Mus musculus: one gene and its partners. The protein of the gene in region 1 interacts with the protein of each later gene in a biochemical or structural test. Links are inferred from orthologs where the notes say so. Each region holds a gene or a part of one and is shown on either strand. Other genes may lie near its edges.

Region 1 (4,262 bases):
AGGGTAAGAAGGACGTTGGTAGCTGCTAAGAAATAAGATGTAACGTATTCGATAGCTGATTCAAGGTTTCAACAGCTGATCCCACCAGCCTACCCTTCGGGTTCTGGGTTATAAAAGACATTTCCTTTGGAATGACAGAGTGGGTGCGAGCCAACTCTGCTCCCCCTGAGATATTGTGTATGCACCCTACTGCTTACATTAATCAGGGTGCTTTCGGTGGACTTCCCCAGAATTCTCCAAATCTTAAAAAACACAGGGGTACTCACAGCTGGAGCAGCCTTTGTTCCTGAGAATGTCTTCTGGGGTGGTTCCAAAGACAAACCTCACATTCTGCAGCACCCCCTGTGGGCAGAGGACAGACGTGGTTTAATGCTGGGCGTGGGGGTGGGGCGGCCAGTCTGAGTTTGCTTGTGGTGAACGCTCAGAAAGTTTAAAAGAACTTAAGATCATCCTGCCAAACTATCACAGAGACATAAATTGCCGAACAACTTCAAAATCTTAATTGTGTCTTCTGCCAACTGGAGCATTTTACAAAGAATCCAGTTTTCAGGCTGCTTGGGGTACACAGGAAATGGAATTTGATCCCAAGTCTGGAGGACATGATACTCTCCAGTGACAAAGAGTTAATGTGGGCGTTCAAAGCCACGCTTGTAAGAAAAAAAAATATCTGAAAGTTAAGGCAAGTAAGGAGTCCCAGAGGCACATGACTGGACTGTTATTCATGTCTTGCCTTAGATCCATACTGAAAGCACCCAGAACACCCTGCCCAGGGACTCAAATACTGACAAAGTATCCTTTTCATGCCCTATTAAAACTGCTAGGTACATTTGATACAAGTTACTTTCCTAAGGGCACAGGGAGTACCCCATTCTGAAACAGGCTGAGTGTAATAGGAAAACCATTTCTTATCTCTCCTGATAGCTTTGAAAGCATGGGTCCCAGGTCCTGGCACCATTACAACTTATTTCTTATTAGGAACAAAATTTCTCGGGTCCCTATCAAATCTGAAACCCTGGAGTTTTGGGTCATCTGTAATATGATTTAACCAACCTTCTGGGGGTGTCTGTTCCTCTTTACATTTGAGAATCATTTTTAGTCTACCGATATTAATTCCACATAGCCCTTGTGACAGGTAAGAAGATTTACCTGAAAATTGTCATTGACATCTCCCTTTGCAACTCGGAGCCTGGCAACGCTGGCCAGATCCCTGGTGAAGATGCTCTGGATGGGTACATCCAGCTCCGCGCTCTCCATCTTATCACAGTCTATGTAGAGTTGAGCCCGGTCCTCTTGAACAAACAGCGTGATGCTCTTCCACTGGCCAGTGGCCAGGAGAGCTTCCTCCACTGACACCACTTGTTGCTTCCCTGGCAGGCTCAGGCTCAGGTCCAGGGTGCCAGCTTTGCCGTTGGAGACCACACTGAAGATCTGGCCAGTGTTGTCTTTCCGTTCCACAGCCAGGAGTGTGCCCCGGGTCTTCTTCATCTGCCTCAAGGAAGCCAGGAAGATGAAGCCTTTGTCGGCCCACACAGCGTCCAGTAGGTCTTGGAACTTGTCATCCGGCACAGCGGGGATCAGGTTGGCATTCTCAATGCGGAAGGCGGGGCTGGATAGATCTTGGCCCTTCACCAGTCGGCGACCGGGGCCCCTTCGTGCACCTCCAATGAGTTCAAAGATGTCAAACACACCGTTATCTCCCCCAGACTCTGTAAGGAGAGAGAAGACAATCGGCTTTCTAGGCTAGGTATAAGGGGGTAAAGTTCTGGCTGTGAGGAGCCAAGGTGGGAACTCGTGACAATAATGGCAATTATGGAAAGCTGAGCGAGGGAAGCTGCATCCTTATCAGGAGATAAGGACTCCAAGGAAACACAGGAGCTATCGAGAGAGAGAGAGAGAGAGAGAGAGAGAGAGAGAGAGAGAGAGAGAGAGGAGAAGGGGGAGGAAAATGAATATATCACAAACTCACCTGGAATGCGGTTGCTTCCACACATATGCAACAGGAACAGGACACCTAGTCCCCGCAGGAGCTCCATGGTGGAGCCTTTGTGCCCAACACGGAGCCTGTAGCAAGAAGCACAGGAGGCCAGAGTCAGAGACCAGGAAGCAAGGTGGAAGGGCAGAGGTGTGTGTGTGTGTGTGTGTGTGTGTGTGTGTGTGTGTGTGTGTGTGTTTCTTCTTTTGCCCCATATGTGCTGAAAAAGAAGGGTTTACTTTCCAAACGGTATCCAGTATAAAAAGAGCGCCAGAGGCAGGGGGATTGTTGGAGTTCCAGGATAAAGGGTATAAAGTGACTTGGGTCCGTCCCCTCCCCCCCGCCCCTTTAGACAAGATTACAGAATGTATTTTGGATGGCGACAGTCAGGGGTAACCTGGAGACTACTGGGGAGAAAATCTTGGGGTGTCTTGGAGGTATAGTTTGTGAACCCGAAGGCTGAAGAGAACCAGCTCCGGAAAGTTCTTTCCAGGGGATAGACGGGGCAGGATAAAGGAGTTAGGAAAACCAGAAGGGGAAGAGTAGGAGATGAGGAGTAGCGCTGATCATCTGCAGCCTGGGGCTTTGAGGTGGCCGGCCAGGTGCTCCGCAGAGGCGGGAGGTTTACCTGTGTGCACCGGGGCTCAGTAACCCGGAGAGGTGGCAAAGGTGAAGTGAAGGACAAGGACGCTGAGTCCGGTGAAGACGCTGAGACTGCCGGTGCGCCGGGAGAGACCGTGGCAGAACTGGATAGCAGCTTCGCGATTGCCTGCAGAAGTCCGATGAGGCTGGCTGACTCCAGGCAGTGGCTGGCTTGACTGAGGAGCCCAGGACCTTTTAAAGAGGCAGGAAGCAGGGAGGGGGGAGGGTTCTCGGGGGCGGGGGCGGGGGACGGGGACGGACGGGTTCATTTCTCCGCCCCCTGCTGCTTGGCGCACAGCTCTCGGGCTGAAAGTGAAGGGGGAGACTCCGATCCCGCACAGGAGCCCTGGAACTTGTCAGAAAAATAGGTCTCCGCCCACGCAGCCTTGGCGTACTCAGCCTTTAGCGCTTAGGATCTTGCGCCATGTGAACTGGAGACGTTCTGCATGAGAGTCCCCAGACGCGATGCTTCTTTGGGGACCACCTAAGACCCTTTAGGGAGGCTTTCATTAAAGCACATCTCCTTGAATAATTCCATGACAGAGACGCTTGGGGATCGAGACAGTCTGGTTTAAAAATAAAAGAGGGCAAAAGGTTGGACCCCTTAAAGGAAGCTGCCTCCTGAGTCAATCCTGGTGGGTGGGGGATCCCATGTCATCTATACTTTGCGCTTCACTCCTGTCCCGCACGCCTGCCTTCCGTCTGACTCACTAAGGGTGTCAGCACGGTGTTGCACAGGGCCAGCAGGACCGTGCACGGAGGTCGCCTTCCGACTCACTGTCCAAGTCGAGAGTTTTTTCCCCAGTTCTACTTTGCTTCCTCAGATGGCCGCTTGGGGGCGGTATATGTATTCTGATTTAGGGGATCCTTTCGGAGAGTTTTTAGCGGCATTTTAAGGAAGCGAATTTATATCCCGCTCCCTCAAGGCAAAATTGAAATTGTGTCTTGAAAAACAATTTTGTGCCCACTCGTGTTTCTTAACGTGACTCCCGATAGGAGAATTTGCTGAACCATCTGGCTCCAGGATCTTACACTATTTACAGAACGGACCCGTAGAGTTATAAATTACTCTCTACCTATTATTTTATTTCCCATCTTTCTCCCTAAACAGTTTTTTTTTCATTTTTTCGGCTCCCAAAACCGAGGTGTGGTTTACATTTCTGTGGGTATACACTTTTCCATCAGTAGACTGCTGCCTGATCCTTTGTCTCTGAAGTCTGGTCTCAATGCCATCGGTCCGGAGCCAAGATGACTCCAGCTGCCTGGAATTCCATTCATCTCTTTGGGAAGGGACGTCAGCGGCGGCGATGCTTCTCCAGCTGTGGCCCTGCGTGAGCAGGCTTGGCTCTGAGTCCAGGGATCCAGGTAAAAGCATCACCAAATAAGGATCTTGGCAGAATCAGGGCGGGGCCGGCTGAGGGACAGCTGGGGCTCCCTCCCCTTATCAGTTACACCTGGCTGGACTCCCAAACCTTGGAAACACCCAGGACTTTATGCTCATCACACAGCAATTTCACTTTCCTTGTGTGGGAGGGAGTGTTCGGTGACAAGGTGTGTGAGTGTGCGTGGTATGTGTGCGTACACGCAAGGAGGGGCTTACAGAGTGTTTCCTAGTTACTCCGGGTACACAGCTACACAGCCAGTGCCT
Region 2 (4,165 bases), on another chromosome or scaffold:
CCGTTGATGCCTGACAATGCTGTCCTCTGCTGCATATGCAGCTGGAGCCATGTGTATGCCTTGGTTGGTGGCTTAGTCCCTGGGAGCTCTGGGGGTCTGGTTGGTTGATGTTATTCATTTGATCTTCCAGGAGAGAACACGGCATGGGATACTGTTGATTGACTGTCAATGATATATGCTTTTCAATGACATATGACTTTTTTCTTGATGATGAAAGCATCTGGCATTTCAGAGAAAGTTATTAAAAAGTAGAGCCTGGAAGCTGGGCGTGGTGGCGAACACCTTTAATTCCAGCACTCGGGAGGCAGAGGCAGGCGGATTTCTGAACTCAAGGCCAGCCTGGTCTACAAAGTGAGTTCCAGGGCAACCAGGGCTATACAGAGAAACCCTGTCTCGAAAACAAAAAAAAAAACAAAAAAACAAAAAAAAAAAAACCAAAACAGTAGTGCCTGGTACAAATACTGGCTTCACTGTTGTTGTTGGTTGTTGTTGTTGTTGTTGTTGTTGTTGTTGTTGTTGTTGTTGTTGTTGTTGAGACAACATCTTTCTACCTGGTCTGGCACTCAAGCAATCTTCCTTCTTCAGCCTCCCTAGTGCAGAATTACATATGTGTGCTACCATGATTTGATTTTTGTGTGAGATGCAATCTGAGACAGAGTTGCTTGCTTTCCCTCTTGTCCCCATAGAATGTGGTCCCAGCTGCCAGGTGTCCCCTGGGCTAAGGTGCTAAAATGCTGGCTTAAGCTTGACAACTCTGTTCCAAGCCTGAACCCCTGCTACTACTCTTTTGTGTAAATAGTCATGATTTCCATAGCGGTGAGAGGACAAAGAGGTTAATGAACATAGAAAAGTCTTCATGGAATTAGGCAACATGGCAACCTTGACCTCTAGAGGGAAATCGAAGCCAGATCCAGCAAGTTAACAAGTGACCAGGATCGGAAGCAGGAACACTTGAGAAGGTAAACACAGACTCATCTTTGAAAGCCTACCCTCTCCCTCTCTGGTGACTCCATCCCTCCTCAATGCTCCAAACTGGAAAGCTGGGTAGAGAGTGTGGAGTTGGCTAATGCCCTTACACTGTCAGAGCGCTTGCTGTGGGCATAAGAGATTATGGAGAAATGGAACATTTTAGACTTCTGTTCCATTCCAATTCAAACGCCCACCTTGAGAAGACCCAAGCTTTGGGGAGCTGCGGAGCTGCGTGTGATTTGGAAGGCATACAGTCATCCTGCACAGCGTGTCTAGGCAGAGTTGGGCTAACCTGTGCTAAGAGTTCTCGGGGAGTGTGCCAAGGAAGGTCTCGGATGACGATGGAGAGGAGAGAGCCCTCCTGTTTGGACCATCAGCTTTGTGTCATGTTTATTGGTGGACAGCCGCTGAGATCCACCCAAGGAGCTGCCACTCCAAAGACATGTCCCCAAGAGGAACCGAATCTTTTCTTTTGTATTTGAATTTTTTCTCCAAATCTTTATCTCTTCTGTTTACCTCCAGGGCTCTTGTAGAAAATAAAGTTTAATATAGTATATTGATAAGGAGACTTGAAACAAATCTTTTAGTAGGAAAATTATTTCTTTGTAACAGACTAAATATAGATGGGTATTACCATCAAAGCAAAGAGGCTTTTTTCATTACTATGGTGTGTGTGTGTGTGTGTGTGTGTGTGTGTGTGTGTGTGTGTACTTGAGTGTGCAAAATTAAATCTCTGCTGAGCTTGATGGATGACACTTTTTATCCTAGCACTTGGGAAGCAGAAGTGGGCTTCTGAGAGTTAAAGGCTAGCCTGGTCTACATAGCAAGTTTCAGTCTGGTCAGGACTATATAATATGACTTTATCTCAAAAAAAAATCAATAGTTTGTTCACAGTTGTGGAAGAAGCGTTTTTATCCTCTCCCAGGCTATTTCTGTGCAATAGGAAATGAAAGTCAAGCCATTTCTGTAGATAATGACAAGTACTTTGACAAAGACCTTATGAAGGAATGCCCCTCAATTGGCAGAGATACATGTTGATCCTACTGCAGAGAATCTGGTTCGGAGTGACCCCTAAGCTTATAGTGTCCCCAGTGCTAGTTTCTACACACACACACACACACACACACACACACACACACACACACACACAATGTGTGTAGGAACCCTGACCTCTAAATAGGTATTTGTTTAATTACTGCAAATACATGACACTTTAAAATGGACCTATGTGACTCACGGAAGCATCAGAGGCAGATGTGTACCCATGCAAAGCCTTCCTTCAGCCAAACAGAAGATCCCAATGGAAACAGGATGGCTCAACAAAAGTTTCTAATCAGTCACACTGAAAACAAGGCAAAGAGGTAGACCATCTAAGCCCACTAACTACCACCACCAGGAACTGAACCCAGAACCTCAAATATGCTAGCCAAGTGCTCTACCACTGAGCCACATTGCCCTTTAGTCAGACCCCTCCAAAATCCCCCTTCAATTAGGTTTACAAAGCCACTGGTGGCTTGCTCTGCCTGTCCATCCCTACCCAAGCAGTATTCACAGGGAAACTGAATTTATATGTCGAACTCCTCAGTCTGACACTTTAAGCTGAAAGTCCCATAAGCCAATAGCTCATTTAAATGAATTGCCCAAAAAGACACAGCGAATCTATTTTTAATGGATGGCTAGAATTTTTAAAAAGCGGAACGAAACCTGTGCATCAAAATCTTACCTGGTTTCAGAAGCAAGAGAAACAGAAGGATTACTTCCTTATGGTCCATGTTGGGACTGGCCAACAGCACCTGGACAACTGTGTCCTAGTTCCTGGTGTTGACTTAAAGGGGAACAGAGGCATCCACAAGCAAGGTAGTCCAAATAGGTTAATTATTCTCTGGGGCCCCCACCACTGTATGCAGAAAGAGCAAACATTACCTCGAACAGGGAGCTTACAAAATGTTTGAGCAGAGCCTGTGGTAGATGCTGGAAGTGATGGCAGTGGCCTTCCCCATTGGACCCCTACACCCTGTTACACCTCTCCGTCCTCCCTCTTCCCTCTTACTTCCTCCCTCCTCCCTCCTCCCAAGCCACCATGTTGCCAGTCTCCTCTCATTTCTTTCTCTCTTCTTCCTTTGCTGAGTGCCTCCCATATGCCAGATTCTGCCAAGTGGTCCATACTCAGCCTCGTTTGACCTTACTGGCAATCGGCTGTACCCTGTTCCCATTTTCAGAAGAGGGGCCTGGGGTAACACATGATGTCTCAGTGTGTGTATTGCGTAAGCTGTATGAGCTTGTTTTTCATCCGTTATGTTGCGAGTAGCGGTTGGTTTTGGTTTGGTTTGGCTTTGGTGACCCCTCAGCTCTCTCCCAGCCCTGATGTTGACTAAGCAGTTTGACTAAGTCATATCATTTTTACAACACCGTCATATTCACGCCGCTTTCAAACTTAAGCAGTACATAACTTCTGTCCTGGTGTGTTTTAGCCCTTGACCCACCTGTATAGTGAGACTCGGCATTGCCGGGCAAGGGCCAAACCATGGAGAAGCACCACTAGCCTACTGTGCAGTGTTGAAATCCGTTTGTGAGTTGGAAAAAGAACTCAGTGGTAAGTGAAGCACTTACTGCTGCTCCAGAATTCAAGTTCCAGCACCCACATCAGACAGCTCACAGTCACTCATAACACCAGCTCCAGGAGATCTAATGTCCTCTTCTGGCCTTTGAGGACACACACACACACATGTGTGTGTGTATGTATGTACGTATGTGTATATATAAGTATATACATATGTATGTGTATATATAGATATATACATATGTATGTGTATGTAGGTATATATGTGTGTATACTTGTACATATACACATATAGGTATGTGTATGTGTATATATATGAATGTATATCTGCATTATATATATGTATGCATATGCATATATATGTATTTATGCATATATGTATATGTGTGTATATGTATTCATAATATATGTGTGTGTATATATACATATATATGTGTGTGTGTGTATATATATATATATATATATACCTTCCGCTTCCCAGTCCTTTCTTAATATCCCCTCCAGTGTGGATCTCTCCTCCATAAGAACTCGCAGTATCATGGTAATACCCTCAAAAGTGGAGGGATTCAGCTGAAAGACTATCTTTTTGTTTATTTGTTCTTGTTGCTTTGACATAGTCTCCTACTGTAGCCTGGG
Region 3 (4,268 bases), on another chromosome or scaffold:
CTCCACCACGAAGTGTCCCATCTCAGCAGGGCTGTCAATGATCCTTCTCTGCCTTTTCCATCCTCCTTGGCTACAAATGTATCCAAATGTGTCTACCAGGAGGAAGTGAAGCCTCTCACCCCATAAGGCAAAGGACTCCCGGATGAGTTTCAGACACAGAGGGAAGAGAGTATGGGGCGGTCCCTAGAGTTATTCCTGAGCAACAGGAAGGGCAATTAGAACTGTTAGGTAGGTCGAGGCAGAAGGGTCCTTCTCTAGAAAGCCAAGACGAATGTTCAGTGTCTAGAGGGCTTGGCTAAGAGCTCCAGAATGCACGGGGTCTACTTTTCTACAGGTTCTCTCTTCCTCCCCAGGAGGTAGTCCTTTCTCTCGGACTGTATTTCTTGCCAGAGATGGAACAGGGGGCATCCCGTGCACTAGGACAAATACCCTACCACTGACCTTTATCCCAGCCCTGAGAAACTGTGTGCAGAGCTGAAATGAACTGGAGACTTAGAGGTACGCGGCTAGAGACAGTTAAGGGGAACGTGTCAGAGTTCCTCATTCAATGACCACCTATCAACTTAGCCCAGCATTTAGGGTCTTGGGGGTTCTGCTTCCCAGGACCCAGCACTGAATGAGCCACACATCTCCACGGGCATCTTTCCCTTCTACCTGATTCCATCCACCCTCCTCCACAGGGCTTCTGGCAGGTCCATTTCTTGCTTAATACATTTTCTTCCCAAAGCTCTTTGCCTCAGTTTCCCTTCTTCTCCCATCCCAGCTCTGAGACCAAGAAGAAAGCACGGGATGACGTTAGATGTGAAGGACAGAGGGTGGCTGCACAGGCTTGCCTGACAGGGCAAAGTCTCTTTCCTCATCGCAGGCAGAAAATTAGGGGTGGCAGCTAGACAAGACAGTCCCCGACATGACATGACTGAAGGCCACTGAGTAAACTGTTTTCCTGGGCACAGCTGCCTCCTGACCCTCTTGTCCTCCTCCCACAACTGAAACAAGTTAGAGACAGGGGTGGGGGAGGATACATAATCTAGTTTCAGAGAAAAACTTTCCCAATCCCGGCCTGGCAAGCTCTTGAAGGCAGAGGAGGGCTGTAAGATGCTACGAAGCTGTTGTCCTCAGTGAGAGGCAAACCTGACAGGAAGTCACAAAATCTCACCCCTTCTCAAGTTAGGGACCCAGCCCAATTCAACCCCATGACCCCAGCGTGAAGCCTGGGCAAGTCTTGAACTGGGGACTCATGGAAGAGGAAAAACAGCTGACAGAAATAGGGACGAGGGGCATGCAATTCCCCCAAAACAACACAGCAGCCCAAACCTAACTAATATACAAAGTGTATGTATGAAGTGAGACAGGGCTGGGCTTTACACATTTACTAAATGAGCAGGATTGGGGGCATGGTCATAACCCCCATCCCAACCTCCAACTCTCCTTCCAACCCAAACTGTGATCAAGCCTGAAATCGGGGAGACAGAGCTTCCTCTGAACCCCTCCCCAGCGTTCCAGACCATTCTCCAGTCTCTTCCAGAATGATGACATCTGACGTTTTTCCTCTCATCTTAAAGCTCCCAGGAATTAAGAAGGGAAAGCCAGCCATAAGCGTCACCAGACCCCTCCATCCCTCAACCGGGCTCCTGACTGAGGCCCTCAGCGGGGAGCTGCTCACTTCGGAACCCAGGCAGGCAGCCCAGGATTCTGGACCCGGGCCTCCATGCCTGGGATGCAGGGCTCATTCCACACCCAAACAGGGGGCCCTGCCTATCCCCACCCACAGCTTTCTCGGCCTGCCTGCCCTTTGGCCAGCAGGGCACCCCTAGCCGGCTTTGCCTTCCAGCCTTCAGAGTCCACTGCAAAAGGCCCTCCGCCCCCTTTTGCAGCGGTACACAGCAAATCCGGATTCCTTCACAATTCAGATGGGGGTGGGGGGGCGGGAGGGTGGAGGATGTAGGGGAGGCAGAGGCCCTCCCGTACCAGAGATAGGAAGAGAAGGCCTCTTAATCCCAAGATCAGAAAAAGGGGGAGCCCTCTTTTCCTACCCAGGCCTCTGGTCTTTGTCTGAGCTGGGGGGCCCTGGAAGCATCATTTGTCCCAGGCTCCCATCCCCCAAATCAGACCCCATCCCCGCCCCCAGTCAGGCCTCTGCTGTGTCAGCTGGACTGGGATAACAAAAGGCACCCCCTCCCGCGTCTCCCTTCCCCATCCAGACGCAGGAGTGGGGGTTGGGGAGGGGGAGCCCCCAGGGGTCCATGGGGGCCGCCGGAATCTCACTCACCATCCATAGTGGCCCCGGAGACCAGAGCTGAAAGCAGCGGCAGCAGCAGCAGCAACGGCGGGGTCAGCATGGTGTGGGCCGATGCAAACAGCAGCCCCCACCCTCTGGTCCTGTTACTTCTTGTCCTCGCCCCCCCCAATTGGGGGGTCCCCCTTTATCTTCCTCTCCCCGACTCTTCTATTCTTATCCTTTCCTTAAGCAAAGCGAACCAGGGGCATAGGTGAAATGGTACAGTTCCGAGCCCCCTGGGAAGGGCCTGCTGACGCGGGTGCGCCCCCTGCCCCCAAATTCGAACCCTTCACCCCTGCTTTACTCCTCGCTCCTCTCCCCCTCCCAGGGCGAAGCTCACAGCCCCATCTCGGAGCCGCCTCTGGCTGCAAAAATGCACAATTGGGAGGAGGCGGGGTGGGGGGTGGGGGGCGTGGACCCGATGGGGGTGCCTTGGTAGGGGCCTGATGGAGCACTAGGGGCTCCCCCGTTTCCGCCTCCTCAGTGCACTGGCCTGGAGCTCGCACCGCTGCTCCCCTGACTGAAGTGCCGCGGGGGGGGGGGGTGGGGGGGAGGAGGGAGGGGGGTGTTCAGAGGGGAGAGGGAGGGGACAGGGAGAGGAGGGAAGGAGGGAAGGGGCGGGGAAAGAAAAAAAGAGGTGGGGGGGGGGGGAGAAAGAGCTACGCGGCAATCCTGACAGTGCGCATGCGCTGATTTGGCGCGCTGCCCTGGGGAGGGGGAGTCGGAGGCGCTACAAGCTTTGGAGTTCTGGGAAGCGGTCCGAGAGTGGGAGTCCCCGGGCACCCTGTCCTCTAACTGCGTCTACCTCATCCCAGCGCTCCCTAGAGCCGGTAGAGCCAAGGGTGGGAATGGGGTAAGGGGCAAGGAGAGCTGCGCTCTAGTGCCTCTTTAAAACTCTATGTCACACCCCAGGATTTCAGATCCCCTCAGTGGGGTCCCGAGCCGCTGTCTAGGCGGAGGCCTGATTTCCTTGGGGAAACCCAGACAGTGCCTCCCTAGCCTAGGGTGGGGGCAGGGGTGGCCGGTCCGCCGGGAAGGTGCGGGAAAGGCTGAGCTTTGATTTGGAGACTTTGTAAGAACCGGTCTGGGATTGGGGCCTGCGTCCTCAGGAGGCGGAGTGAAGGAGTGGCCACATGGACCCGCCCCCACCTCGCTCCAGGGCTCAGAGTAAACAGGGACACCCGCGGGGACACGCTGCAGCTTGTCGGCCCGCCTTGGGCTCAGGGATGGAGCCCACCTTAGTACCCGCCCAGCCCTGCTCGCCTGGCACGGGGCGCAGGAGAGGCAGGCTCTGGTTTGGAGAGAGGTGACTCACCAGAGGGTGGGGTTGGGGTAGAGCCATCCCCTTTCGCCCTGAGAGGTCAGGCTCGATTTTTTTTTTGTTTGTTTGTTTTGTTTTTGATACCTTCTGACTGGCCTCCCACCAAGTCAGGGTTTCAGATGCCAAACTACAGGGAGTTGGAATGAAGGACTCCAGAGCTCCGCTACCAGACACCAGTCCTAGGGGGCTGTGTGCTGAGTGCCGGACCTTTGTCCCCAGTCTCAGTCGGTTTGGGAACGGTACTCTGGAGTCCAGAAAGCATCGGGCGGTTCCTAGGGCCGGCGAACGTGCTTCCGGCCACTGCCCTCTTGTGGGCGACGTTTGAAGACTGTAACCCTTAGTGTCTGACTTTCTCTGTGACCTGAAGTGAAAGTTCTGGAAAGCTCAGCAGGCGACATCCCTGGCTAGAGATGAACTTTAAAGACCAGGGACCAGTACACTAACTCCACAGGAGTGACCCCCACACACACTCCAGCCTGTCACTGGCAGAAAATAGACTTGTCCATTAATGACTGAGAGCCTTTCTTCAATGAGAGCTTATGCGGCTCACGGACAGGCTAACTGTATAGTCTCCCAGGCTGGACTCTCAGGATCCATCTTTCCTCCGTCCAGTTTCCAGCCTGTGCTCAAGTAGAGGCCTGATGTCTTTCTTCCTTTTGAAATATACTG

The links.
Region 2: the proteins of Thbs1 (region 1) and Plg form a complex in vitro, tested with the Homo sapiens proteins (2 studies listed by BioGRID). The link is inferred for Mus musculus from reciprocal best matches to the Homo sapiens genes THBS1 and PLG.
Region 3: the proteins of Thbs1 (region 1) and Lrp1 form a complex in vitro, tested with the Homo sapiens proteins (3 studies listed by BioGRID). The link is inferred for Mus musculus from reciprocal best matches to the Homo sapiens genes THBS1 and LRP1.

The regions. Positions count from the first base shown.
Region 1 is NC_000068.7:118,110,414-118,114,675, reverse strand, and holds the start of Thbs1 (thrombospondin-1 isoform 1 precursor), read right to left. Parts: upstream 2,801-4,262; 5' UTR 2,601-2,800; intron 2,062-2,600; 5' UTR 2,034-2,061; coding exon 1,967-2,033; intron 1,707-1,966; coding exon 1,147-1,706; intron 343-1,146; coding exon 267-342; intron 26-266; coding exon 1-25. UniProt on the Homo sapiens protein: Adhesive glycoprotein that mediates cell-to-cell and cell-to-matrix interactions.
Region 2 is NC_000083.6:12,377,244-12,381,408, reverse strand, and holds the start of Plg (plasminogen precursor), read right to left. Parts: upstream 2,801-4,165; 5' UTR 2,742-2,800; coding exon 2,693-2,741; intron 1-2,692. UniProt on the Homo sapiens protein: Plasmin dissolves the fibrin of blood clots and acts as a proteolytic factor in a variety of other processes including embryonic development, tissue remodeling, tumor invasion, and inflammation. In ovulation, weakens the walls of the Graafian follicle.
Region 3 is NC_000076.6:127,618,349-127,622,616, forward strand, and holds the start of Lrp1 (prolow-density lipoprotein receptor-related protein 1 precursor), read right to left. Parts: upstream 2,801-4,268; 5' UTR 2,340-2,800; coding exon 2,270-2,339; intron 1-2,269. UniProt on the Homo sapiens protein: Endocytic receptor involved in endocytosis and in phagocytosis of apoptotic cells. Required for early embryonic development. Involved in cellular lipid homeostasis.